Oreochromis niloticus: one gene and its partners. The protein of the gene in region 2 binds, or shares a complex with, the protein of the main gene of each other region. Links are inferred from orthologs where the notes say so. Each region holds a gene or a part of one and is shown on either strand. Other genes may lie near its edges. The genes, in order: slc15a2, pdzk1 and akap10.

Region 1 (7,850 bases), about 6.4 Mb from region 2:
AAAGCTGTTGGGACATTTTCTTAATAAATAAGTCATAACAGACACGAGAGTCGCTTGGGAAAGTTTAAGATGAACCCTGTGTGCTGCTAAAGCCAACATCACAACTCACGCTGTTAACTAAGCAACATCTTCATTCAAAACAGACGTCCTAGCTTTTCCCGAGCACTCGACAACAACTCAACTCTTGATCTCCGTCAGCAGATGGCATTTCCTGGCTGACTGCAATTCTGCTAGTTTGTAGCTCTTAAATTACCGTAGAGGCCACCAGAATAAATCCAAAACAACTTGGTTATTCTGATGGTTACAGAATATCAGTAATCCATTATTTTCAAACCACTTACCTCTCTGATGCGATTTCTCTTCTTTTATTTATTAGTAAAATTAATATTGTTGGTATTTTTACTAATGACTGAAATAAATGAGATGTTTGGGGTCTATTTTTTTATATTCTCTCACATTTTAGAGACAGTGTAATTAAATAAAACCCCCGAGTCTTAAGTTCACTCGGATTGAGGAAAAATGTTTGTCAGTAGCTGAAACTGTGGACACAGTGCATCAGCTTAAAACTGCAGGAAATTGCGTGGTGTATTTACATCTGTGTTTGTGTGTGATCCGGCTGAAGTAAATCTGTCACTTATGGAGATAAGTGAGGTCGTGTGAGGGAACAAGAGAGACCTTATTTGATGCCTCTCTATTATATTGCCCCAATAATACTCATAATATGTAATGTAGCAAGCTAAAATTACTCTGTGATTCCAGAAAACCTTACTTTTATTCAGGCTTTATATAGATTTGCACTGTAATATCACCCAGGCTTTTATTTGCATACCTTTCATGCCATAGTAGGAGAAGCGTTCGCAGAATTCATTCACCACTATGAAGCAGATGCTGACTGGGTAATTGGTCCCCAAAAGTTTCTAAAAGAAGCAAAATGTATTAACAGAATGAAGTTCAACGCACATTATTCTCCAACAATCACACCGAAGTAAAAGCACATCCAGAATCCACTATCTAATCTTTTTCCCCCCACCTTTGTCAAATATAAACAATAACTCGCAGGTTCAGTGAATAGTTTTATTCTTTAACAGAGAATACTCTGACATGAAAAGAGAGGAATGTAGCTGATATATTCTTCCTGTTAGTCAATCTCACAAGATACTGAAGTTAATCATTACACAGAAATAGAAGTTTTATAGGTTTAACGCTATAATGAGACCAGGCTCAGCTAAAACGAAGAAAAATATCCATCGCTTGAGATCTGAGTGGATTTTTCTGCAGTGGATGTTTAGTATTCAACTAAACACCGTGTGGGATGTTTTGATTAACAATGATCTGCAACTTTACGCTGTTGCTTGAGAGCATTTTGACAATTTAGGTCATCTGTCAGATCGTATCATTTACATCAGCTGTAGCCCTGATATGTAAAGGTATATGATTCATGTGCTTACACCTCTATATAAACTGCCTACAAGCAGTAAAACACTTTGCACAACCGGCTGCTAAAAATGGAGGCTTCTGTAGAATTTTACTGGTAATGATGTGCTCACTGATCTGGAGCTGGATGTAATTAATATGAGCTCAGTGTTTTAATCATCATCAACATCATCATCATCATAGGTCCATGGCCTCATTCAGTGAGCTTTAGGCAGTCAGTGAGTCACAGTCACTTTAGTGTATACAAGTAGATAAACACTTACTAAGAGAAGTTAGACTGGTGCGTCCCTACTTGGTAATGTTTCTTTTTTCTTTTTCTTTTTTTTTTAATTGATAAAACTTAATTTAAGGGTTTGTTTACCAAATGTGCAACGAACATATTTACTCCCATCACCATCTCTGGTTTTGTGTCATTTAATTTCAATTAATCAAAGCATGAAAACATGAAAGAAAGAAAAAACAGAAAAACAGACTCCGTTCATTTTCAACATGAGTCCATTCAATTTTATTATTTTAAATGTCATTTTAATAATCTTTTTTTATATATATATTTTATTTATTTTATATTATTATTATTATTATTATTATTATTATTTTTAACATGTTCAATGTATCATTTTTGGCATGTCAAGTGTACAGCACTTTGTGTTCAGCTGGGGGCTGATCTGAAAGTGCTATATAAATAAATTGCTTGCTTGCTTGCTTGCTTGTCTCTGTTATATTATTTTACCTCACTGTATCAACAGTTTTCTACAACTGAGGAAAATCAAAGCGTGGTAGATATTGTCCATTTTCTGCATGATAAATCTGCACAGTAAGCATATTAAAAATGATCCTTTAACGGATTTGCTATCTCCAAAAACATAATCGCTCAGGCCACATGTGGCACCAGCTTTCTCCATACAGCAGTTAGTGTGGGTTTACTTTTAAAGGGGAGGGGGTGCCTGTTGCATCATCTTACCAATAATAATTTAGCATAGCGCTTCAGTGGGAGCTTGGTCTCAAAGCAGACTTCCCTCTGTCTCCATAGCCCTCTTCTGCATGCTTCGCATACACGTCAACAACATATCTTTGCGTGTTTTATTTCCACAGACGTCCCGAGCACCGTCTGCTCCCATATGTCCCCGCGTTCCAACCCGCGTACAACTTTTCTTTTTTCTTGTTTTTCTTTTTTTTCTTTTTTTTTCTTTTACTACGCATCTTTGCGTTGTAAAAATCAGAGACGCACAACAAAAGTAACTGAGCAACTCAGCGCATAATCAGTAAAAAAAATCACAAAACAGCATGTTTACCTTTCCCATGTTGTCTTATTAGATGCGAGAGTTTGGGATCTTTACGGCAGCACCGGGAGCTCCTGACTATCATCCAAGTCCGTCCCACTCCGTTCCGCTCACTGAAGGCACAGATGCAAAAACCTCGGACACTTACACTCTTAAAGCACACTTAAAGTTAATATTCCACCACAGAAAACTGGACTTGTTACCTCAGGAAAAGCAGCGAGCCTCCGGACTTCGGTCTTTTGTGAAATATTAAAAAGGAGGTAGCAGATGAGTGTTTATATATGCGTATATTTACAACGCGTTTCACTCCCTTTTTGGGGGGGAGGTCCGCAAGTTGCAGTGAAGCGGGATCTACTTGTACAATAGAGTCGTTGTTGCACTCAGCCGCAGACCTGACTGTGGGATGGAGGGTCAAAGTGTTGTGGATGTGCGGGTCAAAGCGCATATCTCTGGTTGGATGACTTCGAGTGTATCATTTATTTCTTTTTTATTCACCCTGAGTAATATTAGCGGTGGCGGTGGTGGACGTGTGTCCCAAGTACACTTGTTAGTTAGTTGCTGTTTGAGGGATGGGTTTAAGGGTTAGGCTTAGACATTCAATGATATTAAAGGTAAACCTATAAGTCTAGAGAATACATGATGTCAAAGTAATTGCAGCTGTTGTTTCATCCCCGATAATGTACCCACAAAGGTGTGTGTGTGTGTGTGTACTTGTATTACTCATATTGTGGGGACATGCGTCTTTTACACATATATATACTTTTACACTGTCACACTGTGGGGACCCGTATTCCATTTGGGAGCAAAAAGGATGCCCACATAGTGTAAAACATTAGATGTTAGTGAACTTTGTATAGTGGTGTATTTTTGTATTTGTATAATATATTAATGTGGGCTATGTGAGTAATGTCTTCTGAAGTTGTAGAAATGTTGCTGCTGTGAGCGGATGTGTGGTGTTAATGTGGTCTAATGGTCACCACCACTAGACGCAGTTTTTTTTGCGATCTTCACAATTGTTTAAGTCTGCTAAATTTAAACATGAGCAAAACAGCACAAGATTAAAAAATGGTTTAAAGACGCCACAGTTGGAGTTCACTTTATCCATTTTTAATAAAAGATTGTTTAAAAAAACAAATTAATACTTAACAAATGTGCTTGGACTTTTAGAAAACACACATGATTTTAAAACTCACAGATACAGAAATAACTGTTAAAATTTTTGCAGTGCCATTGTTCGAAATTACTGAAAGTGTCTTACATACAAAGCCAATTTCGATTGCTTTCAAGTAGAACATGCTTTACTCATTCCAAAAGTTTTTTTCTTTCTTTCTTTTTTTTAAAGTATCATTTTTCTACTACTTTGCCTGGATCCACTATTTATAACACTGGTCAAAAACTGCAAACAACAAAACAGACAAATTAGCCTGAAATCGTAGGTGGGGCACAGATAACCAGGAGAAAAAAAAATAAAGTTGACCAGAATTATTTTTCGGAGAGGGAGAAAATAAATAAATAAGAATTTTATGATGCTATATATATATTACATACTTACTTTAAACAAATGTTTATTTGGATTTTCTATTAATATTTTCTATTAATATTCTTCTGAAATGGATCATACCAGAAGAGGTTTGAGAACCACTGGTATAACATCCCATGCAACATGCCAAACCTTGAGAGATGAGACTTAAGGAAACAGTAGATATCAGCTCCGGCTGTTTGAACATCACCCCAAAACCACCACTGGCCAACACTGTGCTGGCATTAATGACAACCAGTGTAGTAGCCAAAAGTTTAGAAGTATAGGTAACAAGTTACCGGTGCCAACATTTGGACAAAGAAGTAATTGTTCTAAAACAGTGTTTTTTCTAACTGAAATATAGTCTTAAAAAGAGGGGTGTTGTTTCGTTGGGTTGCTTCTTTTTCCAAAGCTGAATCTGAACGAACCAAAAGATTTCTGATTTGTGCAAACAATATCCTTTGCACAAATCAGACCAAAGTGGAGGGGTGTCCAATAACTGACACAGTGGTGCTTAGACAACAACCTTGTCCTGAACAGCAGCAAGACTAAGGAAGTCATTGTGGATTGCAGGAGGTCCAGCAAGACAAAACATGCTCCTCTCCTCATACACAGAGAGGCAGTAGAGCGTGTGGACAACATCAAGTTTCTGGGTCTTCACATAACATCTGACCTAACATGGTCCCTGAACACACCACACCTGGTGTGATGTCCCCAGCAAAGGCTCTTCTTCTTCAGGAAGCTAAAATGGAACAAACTCTCTTCTCAGCTGCTCATGAACTTCTACGGAGCCACAAAAGAAAGTATCATCTGTCTTAGTATGACTGTGTAGTATGGCAGCTGCACAGCACAAGACAGAAAGAACTTGGCCCAGGTGATGAAATCACCACAAGGGATTGTGGGAAATCCACTTCCACATCTGGACTCGGTGAACCCTAGACAGATCCAAAAAAAGTGCCAGACGTATCGCTGCAGACCTCACCCACTCTGGCAATGGACTGTTTTTTACTGCTTCCTTCAGGAAAGTGGTATAGGAACATGAAAACGCACCACCAGCCTGAGGTTGGAGAGACAGCTTCATTCCCCAGAGCTGTGAAATCCAATTCTCTGACTTTTTGCACATTTATTCTGCACACCTGCACACATGGATAGTGTGCATTCACTTGTCTTATAGTGTATCTGTATATTTATGTACAGTATATTTATGTATGTAAAAGGGTGTTCTCTTCTGTGCCAAGAGCTACCGAACAAAAATTCATTATGCACATATTAACAATAAAAGGATTTGTCTTCTTCTTTTTCTTCTTCTTGGGCTTGCAGCCCACAGGATCTGAGCACCTTACTGGTGTTATGGCTCACAAAGTTCTTTGGGGAAAAGAGACTTTTTCTAGTTGAACATACAGCATTAAACAGATTATAAAAGAATCCAAACAATCACAACCTTTTGACATGTAGGGATTTATTAATCACTTTGTGGGTCATGACTTGTAAGTGTAGGATTAACATTTTTCGAACAGCTAATGGAAGTGGTAATAACAATCACATGGCTGTTCAAACAAGTCACCAAAACACAGCTAAACATTTGCTTGCTCACTGGCCACCTGATCATTTTATTGTGACTATAAAAGCTATGTCTGGACAGTGACACATTAAAGAAGCTTAAAAAAATCGATTGTCTCTGTAAAGAAAGAAAATGAGTAAGGCGTGAATGAAAAATGTCTTCAGTGACAAAACAGACCACAAGAGGGCAGCATTGGTCTACGACAGTACATACTACTAACAGTAAACATTAAAACTTTCCAACAATCAGCAATAAAACAAAAATTTAAACTTAAAATGATGGATTTCCTGAAGAAAATTTACTTTATGTTAAAATGCCTTTAAAAACCTGTGCAGTATAGATTTATTTTCAGACATGATCATTGATTGGGCGTATCCACCTATTAATGTCCTTCTGTTTATGCAACTCTGGCTAACACAGAGAGACAGATAACCATGCACGTTAACATTCAGAACTACCACACACACATACACAATACAACACAGAAAAATCCCACCCTAAATACAAATATTTTATGTGCCTCAAATCTAACTGGGGACAGTAGTCCCAAATGAACTGGTGTGTGAGCTGATATAGGTCCCCAATTTCTACATAAATGAACTCACATCAAACCTCCAAACCCACACACAAGTACTACTTGTGTGTGTGCATTGACAGACATGTTCCTTAATTAAAGCAAGATTACATACTGCTTGTGTGTGTGTATTTGTGTGTGTGTTGTCAAGTCTGAACATACACAAAAATTAAAACACACCAAAGTAAAGTGATCTCTCTCCTTTCACCTCAGACAGCACTGCCATAAAGCTCCTTCTCTTTCACTTGACGTGTGCCTTTACGTTACTGCCATCTTGTGACCGCTGTTAACATTGTCACTGAAAGATGTGCTTATTTCAGTCTCATAGGAGACTACAGCTTTGTCAGTCCCTGAGGGTGCGTCCACCTCCTGTTACACCTCCTGTTACAGATGACTAAAGCTGGGCAGGCTGAGAGGCCAGAAACTCTTTTTCTTGTGGTTTGCACATGTGCATTGTGGACAAACCACTGGTCTGACAGGCAAGCTGCCGCTAGCTCAGCTTTTACTGCTCTGAGATCAGTTATGGTGTGCATTAGCAAGCAAACCACCTTCAATGATTTAGCATCATAACAGAGAAGTTCCCTCTTGCTAACCTCGCTTGGTTAACATATATGATGTAAAGAAGATTGAGCATGAAAAAGTTTTTAATAACTTCTTTAGTACATTAACAAGGAAAGCTGTGACGATGTCTCTGAACCTGTCCAGTCTAATAAAAACAGGCAAGTGTACCAGGTGCAGGGTCAGCCAGCACTTTCAGAGTAGCATCTATGAGAATGTCTAAATGTTTAACCATCTCTTTTGCCAACACTCCACGTTCATTTTTCATTCATATTTGAAATCACCCTGTAGATATTGACAGTTAACCACGTCACACATTGCTCAATCCTTTTAATTCTGCTTGTGCTGAATGCTATTTTTTGTGCGAAATAAAGATGTAGATTTTTGTTTCTGTGGTCATGAACCACTAACAGTTTTTCAGAGTTCCTCACTGGACAGCTACTACAAACTCATAATTAATATATTTTATGAATGGAGCTGGACATTAAACACAATATAAAGTATTTAAAATTAGGTCACCCTTAAACATATATAGCAGTAATATTAATCCATTTAACATTGATGAGAAATAATTTTCTTCAGAATAATTATCTCAGTTTTTATACTTTATGCACAATTTTCCACTAATACAGTTTTTTGTTTAATAAGGTGTTTTCATAGTGTTTTATTGCTCCCAATGAAATGGTTTGAAAAATTCCTCCACCGCTTGTCATTTTCAGCCAATAGTATATCATTTTTTTATAATATAGTAGATATTTATCTAACTATAGTAATACTAATAGTAATATTTTACAATTCTTCAGTCATGAAGGAGTGCAGAAGGGTGAAGATGTCAATGTAGAGGGTGGCCAGGCAGGTATGTTTGAATGTCATCCAGTTTATCTTGTTAAATTGGTAAGTAGTGGAGGAAGATGTATGTGTGCG
Region 2 (7,994 bases):
TAACAGCTTCTGTGTAACTGGGTGGTGAGTTGGAATCATTCATCTCCTCCATGAAAAGCAGAGGAGAAACTTTCCCCTGTGAATGATACAACATGATATAATTTAGACCACCTGCAGGGATTACTTAACAGACAAGATGTTGGCGCCCTGGCTCACCAGCTTATACACTTGGTCTGTGTCTTTGTCCACTACTAGGAGGCAACATTTGTTGCCACTCTGCTTGATCCTGTCTACCACCTCCTCGTGGCTGCAGCTCTCCACATCTCTGCCATCCACAGCCACCAGCCTGTCCTTTTCCTTCAGATGCGCTTTTTCTGCTGAACTGCCTCTCTCTATGTCCCTGATGAAGTGTCCTGCATGGAGTCATGGAGCACATTATTAAAATGTAGCCTTCTTTGGACAGTGTAATCTACAAAATATAGTCATTATAACCATGCCTGCTTGACTGGGCTCCTCTCTAAGGGTGAAGCCGTATCCATCAGATCCTTTGGTTATGTTGATGATGCGTGGTTCTCGAGGGAGGTACTTTGTTGTGGCTAACCACGAGCCAATCTTTGCATGAGTCTTCTGATAGAACTTGTCTGTTTCTTTGTCGACCAGTAGGAACATGATATGGCTGCCTGCCCGTCTAATTTTGTCCACTGCTCCATCGTGTGTGATGTTTTCTACGTTTTCCCCGTTGATCTCCACCAGACGGTCATTGAGTCTGACCCCTGCCCTTTCAGCTGTGCCTCCTGGGGTCACTTCTGTCATGAAAAGTCCATGCTCACCTAGACATGATGATAAAAAAAAAGGACATTTTTTAAACTTAATTGAACAGTTTTCTCGATAGTTCTCTACAGACTAAAAAGAAAAAAGTCATCCCTTTTGAAGTTTAACCAAAATCCTAATTTTAATTTGTGATAATATCTTTTTGTATCTATTACTACTGAAATACCTTTCAAAGATAAGTGCAAAGAAAACACTGCAACAAGTTAGACATAACGTCCGGGTCTGACAAGTGAAATCTTTGCAAAGGTCTTTAAATCTTCATGCTGGAAGGTGACTCCAAAAGCAAATCACATAAAAGTCTGTAATGAATGAGCACGGTTGTCTAACTATTTCTGTGACTGGAATATAACAGACTGTTGTCCGCACCAGGGTGAATCCTCTTGCCTGATGACAGCAGGGATAGGCTCATGCACAGTCTGAATTGGATAAGTGGAATAAAATGGATAGCTGGACAAAAGTCTGTAATGATACTTAAGCTCCCTTCAACACTATCATGATTATTTCTGGTTTTAGCCACTATCTTCAAGCCTTATTGGCGACTATACATATGAGGCATTAGGAAATGCTCTATTAGCAAATAAATACGCTTTTAGCTGGAACTTATGAACCACTGTAAGTGTCATATAAATGGGTACTTCCAAAGTTAAGCCATTCCAGTTTAGCAAATCTAAACTTCCACTGTCCAGCGTCAAATGGCTTTTATCACTATAAATAGTACTCCTATGGCCTTTTTTATTCTAACACTTACTCAGAATTGGGAGTCCCTGCATCCTCTCCTTACCTTCAACTGAGCGAATAGAAAACCCAAAGCTTGAGCTGGACTTAACCAGGTAGCAGAGTTTGGGTTTTGGACGATGTTTTTCCACTCCATTGGCAACTGGCTTGCTTCCAGGGCTGGAAAGGTTTACTCCCTGGGCTTTTGCTTGCTTGTAGGAGGATTCATCTAGAATGTGGAACGTGACAGAGGTTCCACTGTTTTTCACCAGGTCCACCACCTGTCCAGGAAAAAAAGAAGAAGACTCTAAGAAAAGATGCTTGTCACAGCAGAACTGGTCTAAGAGTTGTTATTGATTTGATTAATGCACTGCAGTATTTCTACATCCTGCTCACTTCAGAATGCGAACGTTCATCGACAAATGTTCCATTGACCCGGAGGATGCGGTCTCCGTCTTTCATGCCAGCCAGCTCAGCTGGACCTCCCATTTCCAAGCAGCGGATCAGGTGACCCTCCTCGCCATTCTCCACCCTCAGATAGAAGCCGAATGTCTGTTTTGGTTTCTTGGATAGGGTAATCACCCGTGGCTTGTACCCAGCCATGTCCTAACAAAAAAGGTGAAAAGCACACACATGGCAATCACAGTGGTAAAGTCATAACATTAAATACACCTGTCACTACTAATGCTTAACTTACAGGCATATCTTTTTTTTTTAACGCCTCCCGCCCCCCGCCACCCTCCCCGTTGTTACTGCCGCTGGTCTTTTAAATATATAAGTAGAGTAGAAACTACTACTGGACCTCAAGGACCAGTAGGAGAGTTGCTTCAGATCAATAATCTTACAGTTAACCTTTCATGCTGGGTCTGCAACAGAAGTTAATGGTTAATAGAAGAAGAGGTTACAGTGGTGATGACTCTCCATAAAAAAGCAGCTTGGACTTTGAATGCACAATAAGAACTTCTGCTGCAATTCTTGCTGGATTGTTATTCCCATACAGGAAGGTCATAAAGTTCTTGTCACTCTGTGTGTGCACATGTACTGGCTGATTTATTTAGCCTTTTGTATGGCTGAATAAACGAAAAATGGCTAAAAACAACGACTTTATTTAAGCAGGCAGGTTAGAATAATTTTTTTGTTTGTATTCCTTATACCTTTACTTTTAAAAGAAATGTTTTTACCTGTCCTAAATTTAAGTGTATAGAATTTATGTTTTCACTGAATGCAATATTCGAACCATATGAGTTTAGCATCTTAAAGATTACACTGTTTATAGATCCGGTATCCAAATAATAACAAATTTATGTCTATAATCTCAATAATGACTTATAACAGTTTACTATAACACAAGCAACACAGCTCACCCTGAAGAAACACTCATCCTCAAGACAAGACAACATTTTCCATTATTCTTAAAATGAATTTATAAGATAGCATAGATCTAGTTTTGAATGTGACATTGAAAAATTTTAACTAACTACACAAAATTACATACAGCGTAGTTGAGTGTTTATAATATACTCACCAGCCTGTCTCTCCTGGCGTCTGAATCTCGAAGGAGAGCTCACCTGTTACTGTTTAGCTGTTATCTATGTATCTCCTGTCTACCTCCTCCTTCCCGCCCCTTTTCCTTCCCCCTTCAGGGACTTTGACAGGCCAAAGGTTAGCCTAAAGGCTGAGTTATTTAACAGTTTCTAGGCTCACAAATTTCTGCAGAGGCATTACAAGGTGGGCAGTCAGCTGTTTACCGGTCAAAGGTACAAAATGCAGGTGGCAAAAAAAACAATGTACAATCCTTGCAGCACACAGTTATTACAGCATTGTGAAATTCGAGTTTTAATCACTAACACAGTATTGTGAAATGACTACAAAAATGCACAATTTAATTGCATAATTTAATTTTTACTTGAATGAAAAAAATGATGGCGTACTTATTAAAACTTGACAAAGAATGACCTAAATTGTGTTATTCTAGCAAAAAGGTCAATAAATTTGCATGCAGTAGTACTTAAAAAGCCAGTTCATGTAATGTAAATATAATCATTAGAGATGAGGATCAGGAGCTGGTTCTTGTGGAGAACCTGTTCCCAGTTGTTCAGTTACTTTGATTTCTGAGTTTGCCCGCCTATCGAGCCCACTTATTGGTTTCATTTGCACTTGTGCTAATCAGCTAATTTCAGTTTGTGTGCTGGAGGAGGAAATTCGTTTTTACAGTTTCTACAGTGTGGATATGAACATTTTGTTTATAGTTTATTGGACAAAAGGAGGAGAGCCCAGTGTTTAAGTGCAAACTGCATCCAGGACAGAACACAACTTCTGCTCTTTGCAAGCACCTGCGCAAACAGTATGCTAACGCTAAGTTAGCCAAGAACCCAGAGTGATGTTAAAGCTGAGTGAATGCCGGCCCCATCCCAGCAGCCAGACCTTGAACTTCAACAGGTTACAAAGCCAGTGATGAGCAATCAGGCTGAAGCTTACCTTTCTGTTCATGTTTCTAACGTAGAATCACTATGATGATCGCTTTAAAGTCTTTTTGTGCTGATTTTCATCCTTGCTTTATGCTGTCAGCTTTGTGTTCATACCTAAATATTAAGAAAGCGAAAGATCCCACGTGTGTCCTCATTAGGAAAGGTTGGGACTGGAGCCTACAGGATTATATTTTGTTAAGTAGTATTTATGAAACAATGAGTTTCAGGTCATTTTAATGAGTAACATGAAAGTTACTTAATAGTGTAAAAAATTACTTTCCCCTGGGAGTAATTAAGTTGTACTGCATTACTTTTAATTATTGTGTTATGTGTAATTTGTGCAATACATTACTTTTTATGAGTAATGATCCCAACACTGATCACAACAAATAGGGGAAATACCTACAACAGGCACAGACACTTGTATGCAATTAATTTGCATGAATGTAATGTCTTTGATATGGTGCTTAGGGATGGCAATGACTCTCAAAGTGGAGCAAATGAGAAGCCAATGAGAATCAATAAAAGAACTGATAAGGAGCAGAATATATAAATATGGACAATGAAATCGGAATTGCTAAGTTCTTATCAATACACGTCCCTGATAATTACCCATGTGGGTGTTTCTCTTACATTTACACACCTCAAAGCTGCAGTGTTTGCATTATGGCACATTCAATCCAGTCTCATTCAACAAATGTGTCATAAACTCCACCCTCAAGGTCATAATGTTCAAATCTAATTCTAATGGTTTTATTGTGATGATATGGTGTCTCTTGAGACATGCAGTGCTGCACAAATGTCTTGAGCAACACTTCCTTTTTTTTCTAGGAAAATGTAAACTAGATCTAGTGATTTAATGAATCACAAAAGAAAATACAGTATATAATGCTAAACAGACAGGGCTTTTCTATCTAGGTACGCTTATACTGCAATGTTAGTGTGTTTGGGATCACTGTCATACTGAAAAATGTGGCTGTTGTTATTCAAATGGTATTTCATGGTCAATCAAAATCTAAAGGTATTTTTCTGTGTTCGTAAATCCGTCAATTTTGACAACATCCCCAACACTATGGGCCTCTAATGTGTTTTTACTGCAGTCACTCGCCTTTGTTCCTCTCTCCTGACCTCTTCTGTAAATACTGATGGTGATTAAAAATCAAGAATTTAAAATTTGGAGTCATCACTCCATTAACCCTTATTCGAGCTGTTTACAGTTCATTTGTTATGTAATTTGGCATACCTCAGCTTTTTCCTCAATAATTCCTTCTTGACAGCCACTGAGATAATTTTTGGTGAGGCTTCATTGAACAGTATGTGGATCAACTGAAGGTCTCAAGTCCTTTGTTAGGTCTTCGCTTTGATGGTTTTCTGTTTCATAGACACATGACTTTCAAATATTGTTATCTGCTGCAGATAGTTTTTTAGCCCAGTGTCCAATTTCCTCAAATTTTTTAAGGACACACTGCACACCATACTGAAATATACCAAGTTTTTAGGTAATACCTCTATGGGAATTACCTTGTTGGTGCAAAAATAGTATTTTATCCTATCAAACATTTTTTTTCATAGATTCAATGAAAGAAATGGAAAGCAGCCAATGTCCAAAGAAAAACTTGGACAACTGTTGATCAAGCCACTATAAAATCTTTTTAATACATCCGGCTCACTGGAAGCAAAATATTAAGAAATTATGGGCCAAGACTGTTGCACAGTACCTTAATGAAGGGACAGAACAACACTGGACTAGCTATCCATTCTGTCAGCATAGATACTTGTATAAAATAATGTGTCCAGGAAGTTTGCTCTCACTAGCATTCATTGATTCTTTAAGAGTCTGAGACCCAGGGGTTAATTGGTCTCACTTTCCAAAAAACAGCTTCACAAATTCCACCTTAGTGTCACCACTGGTTAGAAATTCCCCTCTGTACCTCTTTTCCATGTCATTACTTAAAATGGTAAGGATAAAATGTTGACTTCACTAGTCTTCTAACAAAGTGGACTAAAGGGGGTCATTTATTTTTTTAGTAAAGATCTTCGTGGTGTAAAAAAATTCAAGATAGGATTGGTCGCAGTTAAGTTTTAATGTTTGTTGTTAACCTGGTCGTAACTCTGGATGTAAAAAGCAGTTATACAATGGCACAAAGGTGACAACCAAGGCCTGCAAAAGAAAAGTTTTATTCATTACCAAACTGGTGCCTGCAGCAAGATTTTGTTGTCAATATCTTTTTAAATGTTTTATTGTTACTGCTACTCAGAATTCGGTTCTGGTAGTGTCCTCTCTTTCTCAAGGCCTCTGACGAGGCCACAAAGTAGAGTTTAATTTGCAGTTCCTCTCCATGTCTTTGAACAGAAATTATTTCTGCACTGAGTAGACGGTCAAAACAAATATGAGTGCTGTGGACTGCCAATGATGAGACTGCGCAATATAACACAGGAACTTTTATAGCAGCGCTTTATGCAAATGATGTCCTGACATGTTCAGATTTTTACTTAACAATGTATTATTTTATTTGACTTATTATCTATGTATAATTTTGTTTTTATTTTATTACTATGTGCATACACACTGAGAGTTACCTTGTGTATGTCATGCTGAAAGGAAATAATTACTTTAGAGTCCCCAAATTACATTAATTTGTATGCACAGAACCAAACTGCCTCTGGCAAGTTCATCTTCTAAAAAAATCTCTAGATATATTTATTGAATTTGCATAAATGCAGAAAGAAATCCTGAGTCACACTTGCAAGGTGATATTAAAACTTCCACACATGTATGAGATCCAAATATCTTGCCAGGTAACATCCACAAAGGTGTGTATCCCTTTAAAAAAAAAAGAAGAAGAAAATACAAGGTCTCATTTCCACCTTACTACATCTTCACTATAACATAACCTATGCATCCAACATCTATCAAGCACATCTGGTTGAAAACCCTTTTCGTCACTGCTTTGAGCTTGCATTAGTCTCCCTCCCCCCAATATAATTTTCCTCCTTTTTTTGGCACACTGCTACCTTTTATAGCGCATTACCACCAACAACAGTAATGTATATTGACTGATGTGCAGACCTGCTGGTGGAAAGATGTATGGATATCCATTACCATCCTTCAGCACTTCACAGAAATGTGAATCACATCACTCCACGCTTTTACTGTATGGATATAATTGTTGGTGCAATGCTAGAGCCATCCCGTTGAATGTTACTCTAGAGCACTTACCTTTAACAATAAACTGAATTATGTGTATTCAATACCTTCCACCTCTTCTACAGTAAACTGTGACAAAGTAGACATTGTTGCTGTTTTGTTTTCATCTACTGTTGAAAGCTCCTTTTACTGGGAATAAACTATTCCAAGGATTCCCCTCATGGCACTAACATTGTTGTAGCTGGTTTGGTCCTAACATCACTTAGGATCAATGTCTCACTGCACCCGTGAGAAGCAAATGAAAGATCATATTAGTGTCATATTAGTGAGGTTTGCATTACTGATCTAATGCTTCTCGTTTGTATGTCTGCAATATTTCTGATTTAAGCAAGTTATTTTGAAGAAGCCTCTGTTACACTAGGTCATTGTCCCTGGGGGTTCCTGGAACCAATTTTGAGAGCCAGTGCTTTAGTAAATACTATACTGATGTAAAAAGTATGACGAGGTCTGTTTGTGACAACGTGGTGAGACCGACAACAGGAAATGGCAGAATTTGTGCTGGAGACTTCAATCTTTCTGCCTGTGCACCTGAACACTCAGATACCCCATAGGGGTGTACGTACCTCCTGACCAGGCACTTATTACTGTTGATGGGTTGGCACACTGAGCTTTCCGATTATAACTCTCACACACACACACACACACACACACACACACACACACACACACACACAGTACCAGTTTGGAGCCAGGTTTGAACAATCGATCTCAAGGATTTAGGAGCCACAACCTGAGGGGAGATGAGTGGAAAGAGGCAGAAATCCGTTTCAGCTTGGCTTATTGCTGATGCGTTCACTATCCATTACCTCTTGTCATCACCTTGAATTTGCCAG
Region 3 (7,633 bases), on a different chromosome or scaffold from region 2:
TAAAGACATTTAGATACATTTGTCAGAGTATCTGAGTCGGAGTGACCTCCACTCCTCACCTGTCTGCTTCAGCGGCCTCTCCTTCAGTTGCACCATCCTCTCTGTTCTGACTCGAACAGAGAACAGAAGAAGACTCGATAAACCGCGAAATTCTCTCCACATGTTCAGGAGGCAACGTTTCCAGCACAAAATCCGATGGATCCGCTGTAGCAATTTCGGCAACAGCGTCGGATTCAGTCCACTCATTGGACTGACCCACTTTCGCCATCGTAGGACTCACTGAGGGATCCGTGAAAAATCTTAGACATGAAACACGTAAATACAAGACTTCACCAAAACACGCAAAACACTCCACATGCGATTTGACCTGGAAGTGTTTAGACGTCACCGAGGTGACGACGGCCATCTGACCAATCGCCAAAGAGGAGGCAGACGATACTAAACGAATCAAGAGGTTACAGTGTTTCCACTTCCGGTTTTTGTCTCCAGCTGAGCTCTATATAAGATATTTATTTTTCTTGTTGGTTGATGGCTCCTACGTCAACTCGACATAATAATGAGCCTCACACAGAGATATAATTTAGATTAATATTGTAATTAGCAGTAATAATGGTATTAGTTCCGTTCAGACAGCACGAGCAGCTGGTTTTCTGTATGAGACTGCAGCAAACCAGCTTACACACTACATAGATCCACAGCCTGTCCAGCAACTTGTGACAAATGTAAAGTGTCTCCTGCTGTGTGAATCACATTCATCGTCTGTGTCGTAGTCTGCATTATTTAATGAGCTCTATCTTCAGATATTAGCTTTAAATGTAACCAATTATATGAACTGGTGTGCAGTTCATAGAGTTGGGAGATTTCCCGAGCCCAAAGACCCCACTTCTAGAGCCAAGCCAATAATAATGCTTTCCTTTTTATCTAGAGGGAATTATTAATTATTAAGGCGAATATGGGCAATTTTTGTTCGATTTTTTAAGTGAAAGAAATAACCAGTGTCTTTAAATTGGATGAGGAAACACTTCCGGGGAGGCTTATCATCTTGTTCATATTTACTCTTTGTTTGAAGTTTAACCCAGGTCCTGTCCGCTTTTCTTATCCACTTTCCCTGCACCTCTAAACTGTGTCACAGCGCGCTCACTCTCAGGTGGATCTATGGCAGACACCAGCAAAACCGAGAAGGTTCAGCTGCACGCCCCAGATCTAGAAGAGCTTCGTGGCGGTAAGCTCTGATATATAAGCGCAAAGTTGTGCATGTGTGTTCATGTGACTGGGCGCTAATGAAGGTGTTGTTGCTGATTGGTTGCAGTATTACAAGCAGGACTGGAAACCAACTTTGCTGAAGTTCAAGTGAGTGTTGTGGAGTGTCCGGATCTCACCAAAGAACCCTTCCAGTTTCCTGTCAAAGGTAGGAGCCTATCAAAAACACAAGTGTGATTAAAAACTAATCCTTCTTGTATGTTCCACTACGTGCATAAGCATTTTGGTCAATTTAAAACATTTCATAAAACATGCATATGAGTGGGGATGAGCTTCATTTGCAGACTGTGTATCAGAAACACCCTGAAAGATTCTTAATTTCGCCTGTACCCTGCAGGCTTGTGTGGAAGCCCTCGCATCACTGATGTTGGTGGTGTGCCATATCTGGTGCCTCTGGTCCGAAAGGAAAAGGTAATTTTTAAAATAAAAGAATTGTATTGAGAAACTTTAGTGAAAGGTTTTGCTAAAGCATATTCAGCATCTTCTTCTTCTTTTACTGTCAGGAATACAACATGAACACTGTATCAAAGGAGCTGGAACTTCCGGGCGCTTTCATCCTCGGTGCAGCAGCTGCGCCCAATAGAATAGTTGGAATGAACGCAGAGGTGAATTGCCTTCCTTCTAATCCAAAGCGCTTCACTCAGCAAATGACCTCAGTATAAACTAGCTGTCATTCTAATCTTGAAAGGGCAGTTTGGTAAGTCAGCAGTCAGTGGAATGAATGTTCTTGTCCACAGCTGATGCCTCTGGTTCTGACCGAGGCGGAGGGAAGGCCCGCAGTGAACAGCAGCTACTTCTCCTCCATCAATCCAGCTGACGGCCAGTGTCTGCTAGAAAAATACAGCGACAAGTTCACAGACTGCAACTTTGGGCTGCTGGGAAATCTGTATGCTTGTGAAGGGAAACCTGGAAAGGTAGTCAATCGTAGCCTTTTAAAAAATGCACTCTCATCCTGATTTGGCTTTTGGAAAATAATGAACTAGTTATACTTAAACATAATTACCTGTAAGTTAATAACATTGCTGATGTTGTTTTGGGTGAACTTTAGCCCCATGTAATGAGAGAATAAACATTAACAAGAGATCAGTGACTAAACATGCTGAGTTGGTAGTCTTCACCCGTGTGCCTCTGCAGGTCATAGAGATTCGGGCAAAGACGAGAACAGGAAGCCACAGTCTGGTGACGGCCTTGCGGACGACCCTTGAACGTCATTACCCTGATAAAAGTCTGGCCCTGGGAGGCACCTTCATCATCCAGAAAGGGAAGGCTAAAATCCACATCATGGTAAATAGTGGACATGACACAGAGCATGTTACAGACTTGCTGCTGACACAGCCACGCGATTTGATTTGTTTCCTTGCCTGTCAACAGCCAAGAGAGTTTTCAGTCTGCCCCCTCAACACCAACGATGACGTCAACAACTGGCTCAAGCACTTTGAGGTCAGCGCTCCACTCATCTGCCAGTCGGTGCTCGTATCCAGAGACCCTGTAAGTTAAAGCCGATAGACTCACACCTCAGTGTGATGCAGAAATATAAAAAGATCTGATTATAGTTTTATTACCTGATTACAGTGTTTTTGTTCAGTAGGCTTCTTTGTAATGTCCGCCTGGTTGCTTTGCAGGGCCTGGACCTGCGTGTGGAACACACCCACTGCTTCAGTCACCACGGAGAAGGTGGCCACTACTACATAGACACTACACCTGACAGTGTGGAGTATCTGGGCTACTTCATGCCTGCAGAGTTTGTCTTCCGCATCGACAGGCCGAAGGAGACCCACGGAGTCGGACGAGATTGAAAAACTGCATAAAACATGTTGGCAGCAGAGAATCTTCTGATAATCTAAACTGAGACGACTCATTTATTCATTTAAAGCATGTTACATTTCATACATTAAAAAAAAATATCACTGCACATGAATCAATAAAATAAAAGAATCCCAATGAAGTGATCTGAATTGTGTGAAGAAAAAAAAAGGTGGACAGTGACATCACAATGCTGACGTACTTTGGACCTTGGCCTACATTAATGCTTGCCAACTCCAGTGCAATCAAAAAAAATTGTGCAACGTGTTGCAGGCTAGACTGTTGCAGTAGGTAAAGCTGCTTAGAGAAAGCTAGCTTTTTAAAACCCTCCATGGCCAACCTGCCCACATCCTGGATTCACTTATTTGTATGATTAGGCCTCTTGTGGGTGTGTGCACAATGTGCTTGATTAATATCCACCTCACATCGCTTTCTTATACTTCCACTTGCTGAAATAGGGTAGAATAGCAGTGTTGGTGCTTAGAAAGACAAGTGGTGTAAGCGTATAACTGTGTACACCTAACCAGTGATACGGTTTTAAAGTAATACAGGTTTTAGTGTTTTAAATCCGTCTTGTGTCATTTCAAATAAATCTTTCCTCAGCAGAAAACTGTCACAGCAAAATCGATGGAAAGATGTGTTACTTGTAAAGAACTTCGTTTTTTAATTAATAAACTAAGACAATGATTTTCTTCTGAGTGACTTTTTTGTTTGTGTTGTAAAATAACTATATATTGTGTTTGGTAAGGTTCAAATAAGCTGTGGGAAAGGCTGAAATGATTTTCTGTTGGTACCAAGGGGTCAAAGTGTGCCAAGAAAATATCCCTCACACCATGACACCAGCCTCAACCATTGAGACAAATAAGGATGCATGTTTTTATGTTGTCTACATGAAATTTTGACCCTTCTATTCGAACGTTGCATCACTAAACATTCATCACCAGGCCACGTTTTTCTAATCTTCTATTGCCTAGTTTTGATTAGGGCCTGTTTGCTTTTTTTAACAGACAAAAGTGGTACTTGGTGTGGTTGTCTACTGCTTAGCCCATCTGCTTCAAGGTTCAAAACGTGTGTTCAAAGATGCTCTGCATACCTCGATTGTAACAAGACAGTTAAATCACCTTTCTTCCCTATTCTGATGTTCTGTTGGAACTTCAGCAACCTCTCTTCGTGTCTGAATGAATTACATTGCTGCCATGTGGTTGGGTGATAGTAGAACTTTGAGGCTTTCTAAATGTTTCCCCCTAGTATTTGGGGAAACCTTTTGGAAGAAACGTTTAAGAAATTCTCCCTAAAGGCTGTTTAAAGGTTCTTGTACAGCTACATGTACAGCCAACAGGCATACAGGCTTTCAATATTATCATACCATGTTTCCAATATAATAATTAAATTAATTTAATGTTTTGTTTTTATTTTATTTAAAAATTTTGAATACCTCTATTAAAATGTAAAAACCAAATCATTTATCAAAGGTGACTCTTATAGCTTTAATATTCTTCACGTGCAAAGAGCGCCCTCTGCTGACCAACGCAGGCGGTACACCATTTCCCACAATGCTGCTGCCGCACCAGCCCGGAAGTGAGACGTTTATTGACAATATGGCTGCCGAACTGGGTTTCGGATTTGCAGAAATGTTTTAATTGACAGCGCTAGCCGTGGCTGCGACAATAACCCGTTTCCAGCTCAGGAGTGTACGCGACAGTTGCATTTGAATGAAGACAACCGCGAATCCACGGGATGGTGTCAGTGAGCTGAGGAAACGTCCAGAGTGTGAATCCCGTCATGTCGTTTTTCAAGAGGAAAGGTGAGGAAAAAGCTCCCGCTGAAGGCTGCAACGTCGACGGTAGTTAGCGCCGCGGAGAGGGGTGCCCGATAATATGTGACTGATGAGGTTGTCGGTACATAAGTTAGCCGTGTAAACTGAGACGTTTGAGGGAATGCGTTTCCTCCTTTGCTGCTGCTCCTTACTGCTTTTACATGATTAGCTTAGCGCTGGCCTCCCTGCCCCCCCACCCCCCCTTCCTGATTTATCTAACTTCATGTTAGCCGGGGTGGCATTAAATCCACCACAGAAACCTGCCACAAGTCTACATCAACGCCTTCCTGTATGCAGACATAATTCAGGGCTTCCAGAGCATCAAAGGAACACTGTTATCTGCTCTAAAGCAACGCTTGTGTCGAAATGTTCAGTAGCAGCTAGCTAGCTCTGTTGAGGTATTTTCATACATACTTAACAAGCAAGATATGTCAGAAATATTGCCGGTGGCAGGTTGTGTCTCAGTCAGAGCTGTTAATTATCAAAAGGACACACGTTTCCTGTAACACATTTGGCTGTAGAGAACCTGGAGTTGGCTAGTGCTAATTTCCAGTCACTATTGTGTAGAACCTAGATGGGCTGGGCCTGCTTTTTTCTGTATTTTCTTGAACACAACGTGACAATGAATTTCAGTTCAAAGCCCCACAGTTTAACCTCTTTTGTGGTCATTGTGAAGGCTGGAGTCACACTGACAGGCGTCTTTTGTGTCTGGTCTACATCTTTTTTTAAAGTGGGTGGGCAAAATGTCAGATTCGCCACCACCTACAAATGAGCCCTTCTCTGAAACCCTGTCAATCAAACTGAAAATTATAACATTAAGGGGGATAGAGTAGGTTTAGCAAATACATTTGGAAAAGAAAGAAAGGACTTTATTTTTCTGCTGCACCATCCTACAACAGGTGACAACAGGTTTGTCTGATGCTTTTGATAGAAATCACACAATAAGAAAAAATATATAAAGGCCAGAGAGGCCATTAATAATGGAGTCAATAGAGCTCCTGTCCCATTTCCTTAGGAAGCCACCATAATAACTTCACTGCTGAAACTGGCCTGCAGTTTGGTATCCCCTAAAGATTAGTGGGTTTTCCTGGTGGCAGTGACAGTGACAAAAACAGCTGACACAGCAGATCACCAAAATGAGGAAATATAGACTTCACTTATCCATACCCAGAATGCTGCTCAGGATCGACAGGAAGTGAATTTGTTCCTGTTAGGAGGAAGAATTTCAATGCCAAAAAAAGAAGGAAGTGAAAGTTTTACTATTAAATTTGAATGCAATTTTCCACTAAGTCCCAGGCACTCTGTTCATACATTATTGTAAATTATCTTTGTAGTTATTAAAGGTTTATTATTTTATGTTACTATTTTTTTCTTAACATTAGCATCCATTTCACTAACCTGTCATGGTCCTGTAATAACATTAACATTGCGTAAAAGCATTACTTCACTGTAGTTATTTGCATCGTTGTGTTTTAGTCCAGTTGTTTAAAAATGACTGGGGTCCAGACTTTTTAAAAGCCATGTCGCTTCTCTGTGGCAGACAGCCTGTTGGTCTCAGCCAACATTGACTCTTGGTTGATACGCACACACACACACACACACACACACACACACACACACACACACACACTCACTCACTCAGATATGGCTCCATCCCAAATGTCTCACATAAAGAGCATCTTCAGCTCCATTTGTTCAGGCCTCCCGGTCCATTTTGTGATGTCACTGCTTGAAACGGTCGCTTGGCCTGACCAAACTGCTTCATCCGGAGATATGACTGGAGGGTCACTCTGATGAATGGTTGCCACCATGTCTGCCAGCATGCACTCATTCCCCTGCAGGGTTCACACATCATTCTTTTTGGTTGATCTGACAGCTGCAGAGCTTTGGAATGGCTTCACATATCTGCTGTATTATGCACTGTGTATTTTTTCGGGACAATCAGTAAATCTTGGTGACCTTCAGGTGTAAATTAGCTTACAGTCATGTGAAGGAAAACCAGAACTGATAGACCAAGGGCACAAATTGTAGGACTCATGATGCAGACGTCTAGTATAAAAGCCCTGACTGTCTGCACGCTGTAAAACAGCGATTCTCAAACTGCGGTGTATAGAGGCCGTGGACGACCATGCAGTAATCTGAAGTTGAATGAGCATAATTCATGTGGGGAAAGTAAGCAAAAAGATTGCTGATGATGCTGTTTGGAGCTTTTTAAAAAAATAATTAATAATTGATTTAGAACTGTGGGGTCCGTCCTACAAACTTTCTTTATCTTTGGAAGTGGAGGATGCTGGGAAAACTTTGAGAATAACTGTGGTACATAAAGCAGGATGGACATTGTTTTCACATTTTAGAACCCAGTTTCGAGATTTAACCCACATCTGTCAGCAGCAGTGTGGCCAGGTGGAGGAAAGCATATGTAAGGGCTAATTAACTATTAACACAGACTAACAGCACACAGTGTGAAATGACATTGCCACGATAACGACTAACAATGTCTTTTTTTTTTTTGCCTTTTCAATAGTTTTCAGTTCTGCAGATATTATTAAGCAGCCTTTCTTAGAAGTCTGTATTACAGTTCAACAAGTGTTACAGAATCGTTGTTGTGGGAAACACATCCCCACCACACGACATCAACCCCTCAGTGAAATCTCATGTTTTGATTCTTCACCCTCCCTGTATTATGATTCAAAACACTGCTTGCTTCTCCATTTCCAACCACTGCTCTCCTCTTTCTCCCCACAGCCAAAAGCA

The links.
Region 1: the proteins of pdzk1 (region 2) and slc15a2 are in contact, whole or in part, in a crystal structure (PDB 6EZI), measured with the Homo sapiens proteins. The link is inferred for Oreochromis niloticus from reciprocal best matches to the Homo sapiens genes PDZK1 and SLC15A2. Residues at the interface, in NP_001188254.1 of Homo sapiens: Asn386, Gly387, Tyr388, Gly389, Phe390, His391, Leu392, Asn393, Ala394, Ile395, Arg396, Gln407, Tyr436, Glu437, Val440, Ile443, Gln444; in NP_066568.3 of Homo sapiens: Glu723, Thr724, Lys725, Lys726, Thr727, Lys728, Leu729.
Region 3: the proteins of pdzk1 (region 2) and akap10 are in contact, whole or in part, in a crystal structure (PDB 3TMH), measured with the Homo sapiens proteins. The link is inferred for Oreochromis niloticus from reciprocal best matches to the Homo sapiens genes PDZK1 and AKAP10. Residues at the interface, in NP_001188254.1 of Homo sapiens: Asn386, Gly387, Tyr388, Gly389, Phe390, His391, Leu392, Asn393, Ala394, Ile395, Arg396, Phe402, Lys404, Tyr436, Glu437, Val440, Ile443, Gln444; in NP_009133.2 of Homo sapiens: Pro655, Leu656, Glu657, Lys658, Ser659, Thr660, Lys661, Leu662.

Annotation. Positions count from the first base shown.
Region 1 is NC_031987.2:26,202,253-26,210,102, reverse strand, and holds the start of slc15a2 (solute carrier family 15 member 2), read right to left. Parts: upstream 3,069-7,850; 5' UTR 2,918-3,068; intron 2,828-2,917; 5' UTR 2,736-2,827; coding exon 2,727-2,735; intron 918-2,726; coding exon 830-917; intron 1-829. UniProt on the Homo sapiens protein: Proton-coupled amino-acid transporter that transports oligopeptides of 2 to 4 amino acids with a preference for dipeptides. Transports neutral and anionic dipeptides with a proton to peptide stoichiometry of 2:1 or 3:1.
Region 2 is NC_031987.2:19,838,268-19,846,261, forward strand, and holds the start of pdzk1 (Na(+)/H(+) exchange regulatory cofactor NHE-RF3), read right to left. Parts: upstream 3,104-7,994; 5' UTR 3,011-3,103; intron 2,092-3,010; 5' UTR 2,089-2,091; coding exon 1,882-2,088; intron 1,767-1,881; coding exon 1,553-1,766; intron 771-1,552; coding exon 438-770; intron 354-437; coding exon 157-353; intron 77-156; coding exon 1-76. UniProt on the Homo sapiens protein: A scaffold protein that connects plasma membrane proteins and regulatory components, regulating their surface expression in epithelial cells apical domains.
Region 3 is NC_031975.2:9,534,320-9,541,952, reverse strand, and holds the start of akap10 (A-kinase anchor protein 10, mitochondrial), read left to right. Parts: upstream 1-4,626; 5' UTR 4,627-4,845; coding exon 4,846-4,867; intron 4,868-7,624; coding exon 7,625-7,633. Other genes in the region: eukaryotic translation initiation factor 5B, read right to left, coding at 60-406; lg10h11orf54 (ester hydrolase C11orf54 homolog), read left to right, coding at 1,156-1,222, 1,310-1,408, 1,598-1,671, 1,764-1,865, 1,998-2,174, 2,395-2,544, 2,632-2,748, 2,883-3,056. UniProt on the Homo sapiens protein: Differentially targeted protein that binds to type I and II regulatory subunits of protein kinase A and anchors them to the mitochondria or the plasma membrane.